Linked DNA regions of Stegostoma tigrinum. The protein of the gene in region 2 interacts with the protein of the main gene of each other region in a pairwise test. Links are inferred from orthologs where the notes say so. Each region holds a gene or a part of one and is shown on either strand. Other genes may lie near its edges.

What was found.
Region 1: the proteins of cyclin-dependent kinase 4 inhibitor D-like (region 2) and nr4a2a interact in binary tests that used the Homo sapiens proteins (3 or more experiments, as listed by UniProt). The two-hybrid records come from large-scale screens. The link is inferred for Stegostoma tigrinum from reciprocal best matches to the Homo sapiens genes CDKN2D and NR4A2.

What each region holds. Positions count from the first base shown.
Region 1 is NC_081360.1:56,816,149-56,820,073, forward strand, and holds the start of nr4a2a (nuclear receptor subfamily 4 group A member 2a), read right to left. Parts: upstream 2,671-3,925; 5' UTR 2,591-2,670; intron 1,761-2,590; exon of another isoform or gene 1,579-1,760; intron 1-1,578. UniProt on the Homo sapiens protein: Transcriptional regulator which is important for the differentiation and maintenance of meso-diencephalic dopaminergic (mdDA) neurons during development.
Region 2 is NC_081388.1:16,762,327-16,766,251, reverse strand, and holds the start of cyclin-dependent kinase 4 inhibitor D-like, read right to left. Parts: upstream 2,719-3,925; 5' UTR 2,553-2,718; coding exon 2,415-2,552; intron 1-2,414. UniProt on the Homo sapiens protein: Interacts strongly with CDK4 and CDK6 and inhibits them.

The DNA.
Region 1 (3,925 bases), on a different chromosome or scaffold from region 2:
CACTGGACACATAGCATACCATTTTACCAGTTTCAAGTAAAATCTTCTCTGCGACTCTTTATTTTAAAAGTTTATTTAATTACGCCCTAATGTATCCTTTATGCAGTCGGTTGCTACGACCTCATCTTGTTTTTGTCTTGCCTCTCTCATCATCCTCTGGAGCAAAAGATCACATTTGCTTAAATACATTTGTGAATTGTCTACGTAGTTTTAATTATAACTGGATAACATTAATGACATTCTCGTCGTCTCTGTGTATACTGGATCACATTTTCTGGCCAAACCAATATACTAACCCAGAAGGACTATCACAAAACATGCGAAAGGAAGTGAGCACATCCAAAAGAGATTTGCTTCGAAATAATGTGATAGAAAACATGTGCTTTGCTCTAAGTTACGCGGCCTTAGCAATACAAAGTGCTCAAAATGTTAAATTACAGCTTTGGAACGGTGCGTGTGGAATATTCTGTCGATTATTGTGCGGAAAGTAGCTATATTGAGAATACTCACGAAGAAAACAGATGGATAAATAGACAAATCAGTCAGATAGATAGACACAGAAAGGGGGAAATATCCACCATTAATGCAAATTGAATTATTTCTCTGCATATATAGGAAGAATACAGCCAAAGACTAGACAGATACATGATCTTTAAAATATACTGATGCATGAACGTTCGCGAAAGAACATACATCTTAAGCTCTTTCTCTAAACCATTTTGGCAGTTGTTTTCTGCTATGATTCCCAGGAAGAGGCAGAACCAAACAGTAAAAGTAACAACCACTGGCTTAACAATAACTTTTTAGGAACTCGAAATATATGTTAGATATGTGTTGCGCAATTATCCATTATTAAAAACTAAAAACAACTTTTGAAATGACAGTCATATCTGTGTATGCCTGAACTCACAATTTAACATATCCGCGTCGCTCCACTTGATCATTTGTGGGCTGTCATAATTTCAAAAGATCAAGTAGATCTTCGGCTACATTAAACATTATACACGCTAAGATGCAGCGAATATTTTTCACTTAACTAACTGCGAACATCTAACTTTCTGTAAACTGTCTCATGTCAGTCTGTAAATCTTCTGGACTGCAAACCGATATGTACACATTGCAATGTGGGCTTCGCCTTGGTGGGCGAGGTAGTTTTTTTTTAAAGTATATCATGCTGCAGGTCGCAAGAAATGCACGTGTGAATGAGATTCCGCTATCGCTGATATCGTCCAAACAGTGGCAGAGCACCAGGTGGAACGTACAGGTCAAAACAAAACCACGCGGATCAATATGCACATTGCCTACAACTTCCAACAGGAAGAGCAGACGATCCATTTATTGTTTTAAATTATTATCAGGATGTGCCTTTCACTTGCTCAATGACAGCGCTGGAAAGGGTCGGAACAGAAAAAGCTCGAAGTCGGTAACTGTTGCCAGAGTTCAAGAATTGGCTACTTTTCTCCAGCTAGTTCACAAGATAAACTAAACCATGGCAAACGGAACAACAGCGGTGAACAATATCGGGACATATTCGCATAAGCACGCATCATGAGACTACTCGAATAATTCAATACCTACTTGTCAAATGTTTACTTCCACTTCTCATTTAAATACGGCAGATCACAGGGTGAGTAGAAACTCAGTTCAACATAGAATGAACTTTGAGGTGCAGCAGTGTGTGGTTTAAGTAGCGGCAGCAGCGGTACAGGTTGCTGTTCTCCGCACTCTGAGCAAGCGATCAGACTCGGACTGGCCCTACTCTCCCAATGTGCCTTTGTTTATGTGAGCTCCTCTTCCACCGGCAGCGTGTAACCAAGTCTCCGAGCGTCAGCGAGCGTCAGCGTAGCCAAACCCAATGAGCGCCCGAGGGCTGGGCCCGCACCACACGGTTGGCTAAGACTCACTTTGGTAAATTTCCGAGGTGACGTTAACGCTTTGGATTTTTAAGGTAGTTGGGGCATGACTTGAGGCAACCTTCTCACCTCCTCTTTCAGCATTTCCAAAACAACACGTAGTTGGAATATTCGCCGTTTATAGCTTATCGATCTTATTGATCACTTAGTTTGGATGTATTTTATCACGGTAAACTGCGTATTTTTTTTATTTCCAGTATATTTATTCCATTATTAACGATGTGTTATGTCAGTTCTAGTAATTCGGTAGAGCCCGCAAGGGAAACTGGTGAGTGTAATAGCTAGCATTGAAATAAAATTCCCATGTTCGCTTTAATCAATTGAGATTTATTCGTTTAAAACACACGTATTTTAAGGATCAGAGATAGTAGGAATCGCTTTAAGAATCGCTTGTTTTGGGTACGGGGGAGCGTCCTGTTAATAGAATGTAAAGCTTTAAAAACATCGGGGTAATAATAACTTCGGGTTGCCGGATGCGTGGGACAATAAGTTTCAGTTGTATAGATAAAACGCAGGTTTTAAAAAGAGCTGTACTGAAAATAGCGAATTTAGATATTTAACATCGCCGCTCTGCTGCAGAACTAAATATAAAAGTCCAACAGTTGTGTATATATTTTATACACTGGTGGAAATAATGTTGAGAGGGCGGACGGCTCTGGGAAAAGTCTGGTGACTACCTTTAATGATGTAAGGCGAGGAGCGGACAGAGGGAGCTCATTAATCCGGCCTGTTGCAGAACAGCGTCAGTGATTCGTGGGCGAAACAATTTAATGAACGAAAGGAAAATGTGAGCGGCTGCGCGCCGGGCCCAGCAAAGTGCCGCGTGACGCAGGAACGCTGCCATTGACGCAGAGAAGCGGCTCGGCCAAAAATAGCAGGTCTGGCACAGCACTGTCAGTCTGCAAGTGATGCACACAGGGGCAGGGCTTACTCCGGCTATTTTAAACCCCGTCGGAAACTCGAGAACACCAAATTAAGACATTGTGGATATTTTTAGAGCTAGTACTTTGGCGTAGGGATTTTAATTTTTTTAAAACACGGGGTCAAGTTTGCTTATATGTATTTGCAGGGACATGCTGTTTTGTGTACTTTATGTTGACGTTTTCTTGGCCACGATTACTCCACTTTTGTCAAACTCGCAATCTAGCAAGTCGTACAGTTTACCGGCAGATTCGCCTTTAATCACTATCCGGGCACCGTATCTTCTCCACCTGATGCATTTAAGGTAACAATTGTCAAGGGATAGAATAATTGATTTCCCCCCCCACCAGGGCTTTTATTTTCAAATAGACTTCTATCCCCAAGCCTCACTTCAAAGTAGGTTTAAAAAAAAGTACCATTACGCCCATTACGTTCCTAAATGGAAATGTTCTTGGCAGGTGGCATATTTCCAGTGGTTGACCGCTTTGTAGGTTCTTCATTTGGCTAGAAACAGTTGTATTCAAATAACCGGAACTGTTGAAGTTACACGTTTCATCCAGGAAGAGGCGCCCTCAATTATATGCCATCAAAACAATACATAATTTTGTCAAATTAAATTTACATATAAAACCCAAATAGGTCAATAGCACATCTAGTTTATTCACACCCTTACAGCAGTTGGCTAAATTATAAGCTGCCTCCAATATGCATCAAGGTTTGTTATCAGCTAGATCGAAGGCAGCAGAATAGATTGCATATTTTCTGGAATCAATGAAGAATAATTTAATGCTTGAAGAAAAAAATTAATTACTTACTACCCTATTGATTCAAATCAGATTCCATGAAAAGTTTACAATGGTAAATAGGATACAATTTCTGATTTTTTTTGTATGTAAGGGCTTGTTAGGGGTGTGGTAAGAGGTAAAGTAGAGGCACATGACACAGTAAAAATGAACAAAACATTTATTGTGACATGAACAGTACATCTGAATTGCAAACTTACTAAGAGTCAGCATCAATCAAAAGCAACTTCTTTAGAACCTTGTAACTCAAGTATTCATAATGCTTGCCACAAAGTTATTTTAGTTTTC
Region 2 (3,925 bases):
GAAGGGTGGGTAGAAGATGCACAAACGCCACCACCTCCAGACATAGGCCATCCAACTTGTACATGTAGCACTGTACTTTCATTCTCACTTGGTTGAAATCCTTATCCTCACAACTGCCGTAGTACAGTTAGAGAAAAGCAATGCCCAAATCCCAAAGATCAATACATCAAAATTAATTTTTGTACTGAATAGCATTTTGGGGACTTATGGCTGGAGTTTTTGGGATTGAATTCCACAACTTTCTCCATTTTTCTGTATAAACTATAAGTGAGTGACCCTCTTTAATGTTTTTGTACCAGATATTGAATCCATTGCCATTTGAGTAAGCAAAGAATACACTTAAGAACTGGAGTAGGCCATTCAGCACGTCCTGCCATTCAGTTACGGTTCAGCTGTACTGCAGCAAGATTGCAAACTATAAAGATTCACCAGTTGTACATATTTCCAATTTAATGGCTCTAGGGAAAGGAATTTGGGCCTAACCATATTTGTGTGGGTAACATCGGAGAAATGGTTCTTGGGTGGAGCAGCAACAGTATAGGGTTTATTTCTGATATTGCTACTTGTAGAGAAAGAACCTACAATTAGACACAATTACAGTTTAGATCTTTGGTGGATTCTTGCCTGAGTAATTCAAGCAACAGAGTGGAAAACAGGCGGTAACAGATTGTGCTTGGTTCCTATTGAAATTAATGGAGAGAGGGGAAAATACAGAGCGGTGCAGGGTATTAGGAAAATAAAGTGGGGCAGGCATGTTAGTGGTGCATTTTAGCAACCCAGGTTTGTTACTTTGTACATGTTGAATTTGATTTGTTTGCAATCAGTTTCTGGGCATGTTTCTGTGTGCCCAGCAATCTGTGTCTGTCTCCCTCTCTGTCTCACAGCTGCAGAACAATGTAAACATTCTAATCATGTATCTCTCTGACTCTCCCACAGCTGCGAGAAGATGTAGACATTTGGAGACATCGCAATTACTACCTTCCCCTGTGATTGTTATAAATTTGTCTCTGTAACAGCCCTGAGGCACAGGGCTAGTGTGAAGTCTACCATGGGAACTCAGACACTCTGGTGTCAAAAAAAGATGAAAGCAGCCTCTTTTGTACAGCAGTGATGGGCTTTCAGAGTCCACTGCCTTGCAAGATTCAGTCATCCTTCCACATGACAAAGTACTAACCTCAGCCAAGGATATTTGGTTAGAGGGAAGAGATCCGAACACAGGACATCACAAATCCAAAGTCAGACCTTTTAGGAATGAATTTAGGAAATACTGTCACATGCAACGAGTGATAGAAGGTTGCAAGTGACAATTGCTCAGTCGATTAATCCTTATAATGCTGAAATCGAAAGATTGTTTTTGTAAACTGTAGTTACTAAGGGATACTGGACAAAGACAGAAATATGGAGATACCCAGATAGTCGCAGATCTACAATCCCCGTGAATATAGGGTGCCCGCTGTGGTCTAATTTTGGTTCGCGTTGCTACCTTATGCCCTTGGTGAGGACTGGGGGTGAGACAGAGTCCACTGCTAAATATTACTTAACACGGATGCCTAGCAACATCTTGTGAATAGCCTGGTAGATAATATACAAAACCTGCAATAATTATTCTAACCCCACCCATATTTAAAGCACTTTATTACCAATCCAATTTAAAACGCATCTTTTACTGCTTTCGGTTCAGGAACAGGGTAAATTTAGCTCAACAGCCGATCGACAACGCAGATTGAAACCGCCCTGTTGTACACATGCCCCACGGCAAGACTCCGCCCTTTCGTAGTAAAGTAACGTAAGAGTTACTGACATTTCTCAACAATTGTTCCTTTCACTGCTTTTTCTAAATTAAATCAACAATCGATTTTTTAAAAACTCCGTTTACACCTCTTCAAAATTCCATCCGGCCAACGGCAGGCAAAAAGAAAGTTATTGGATAGAGTTTTGGAGTCAAATGTCAAATTATTTCAAATCGGCATTTTAACGTCAGCCGAAGGGGAAGGGAACAGGGAACCCCTTGCCTTCATTCACAAATTATGACGACCCCAGTAGGTTACAACACCAGATTGCGCCTAAATATTTTATTTCACGTTTCATTACATCTCTGGGCGCTGTCTGGAAACGGGTTAATCTTCCGCAGCAGGTTTAACCGGCTGACATCTCCGTCACAAGAGGCATCGCAACAGTCATTTGCAATCCGAATGTCAGGCAAATCCCCAATTATTAATCTGCTGCGTTCGACAGTAATGCAGATTCTGGTAGGGCTTTCAAATTTGCAGATTTTTTTTAATATATAGAGAGGTAGATGTAATGCTGAAAAGGATTTCTCCCGGTTTAAACGGATGCGACTGTAACTCGGGGTTAAATACAGTATGCCGTTGCTGTCCTTATCACTATTTCAAGAGTCCAGAGGTACTACCAACCTGCAGTGCGGTTTGTCCGAATTTATTCACCGCATTGGCGTTCACCTTTTCTTCGGTCAGCAGACGCTTCACGTTTTGCCAGTCTCCCCGCACGGCAGCCTGGGACAACTTCTCGCCATCCGGCATAGTTTTCCCCATATTTATGTATATATTATATTTCCCAATGTTTAAATATTAGCTTTGCTTTAAAGCGCTCCGAGACTGGAGGCGAAGGCAAAAACGCAATGTTGTTGCGGCTGCAGTCTCTCTCCGCTTGCCGGGCAACTCAGCTCGTTCCCACTGCAGGGAGGAGTGAAGAAGGATCTGATTGACAGGCGCAGCCGCCAATCAGAAAAGCTGTCGCAGTCGCCACCCGGGCAATATTCTAAATCGCGACTCAATGTTTGGAGGCCGGGCCGAACGGCCAATCAGGAGCGAGACAGCCCGAAATGTGCAATAACATCCTGATGTCAGTTCTTTGTGACGTCATCTGTTTTTGTTACTTGTGGACCGCGGACGCACGCGCGGCTGCAGAGGAGCTGACAGCTCCCCCGGGTCGACAATAGCTGCAACTCGTGTACCAAGTGGCAGAAGAAGCGATGTATTTATATCACCCGTACCCTTCCCCAGCCAAAGTAAAATCTCGGGAAGCGTTACTGGACTGGAAACGTTGACTATGATTCTCTCTCTACAGATGCAACCAGGCCAGCTGAGTTTTGCAAGCAATTCTTTTTCTTTAAATCTCATTTGGGCTCTTGTGACACAATGATAGTATCCCTGCCTCTGAGGCAGGAGGCCCTGTGTTCAAGTCACTCCTTCTCTAGGAGGTGTGTACTCAAATACATCTTTACAGGTGGATTATATCTCACTTCCTCAGTTCAGATTGTACAAGAAGAATCTGGACCCACAGCCGCTAAACATTTAGTCATCCTGCCAAAATTCAATAATTCTGCCCATTTTTCCATAATTTTAAAAAATCAAATCTGTTCATATCTGGCGCAAGTGAGACTTAAATCCAGGCCTAGAGGTAGGAACATTACCACTGTACGATATGATCCTTTAATCTTCCACAGGAAATTCAAGATAGGCCGGAGGCCTGTGTAAGGATCAGTGCTGGCTCCACTGCTTTTTTTTGGCATTTATATTGGATTTAGATGTGAATATAGGAGGTATGGTTAGTAAGTTTGCAGATTACACCAAAATTGGAGCTGTAGTGAACTACGAAGAAGGTTATCTCAGAGTACAACAGGATCTTGATCAGACAGGCAGAGGAGTGGCAGATGGAATTTAATTTAGATAAATGTGAGTTGTTGCATCTTGGAAAGGCAAATCAGAGCAGAACTTATACACTTAATGGTCCTGGGAAACTTTGCCAAAGAGACCTTAGATAGCAGGTTCATAGTTCCTTGAATATGGAGCCTCAGGGAGATCATGTAGTGGAAAAGGCATTTGGTATGCTTGCCTTTATTGATCACTGCATTGAGTACAGGAGTTGGGAAATCATGTGGCTGTACACGACATTGGTTAGGCCA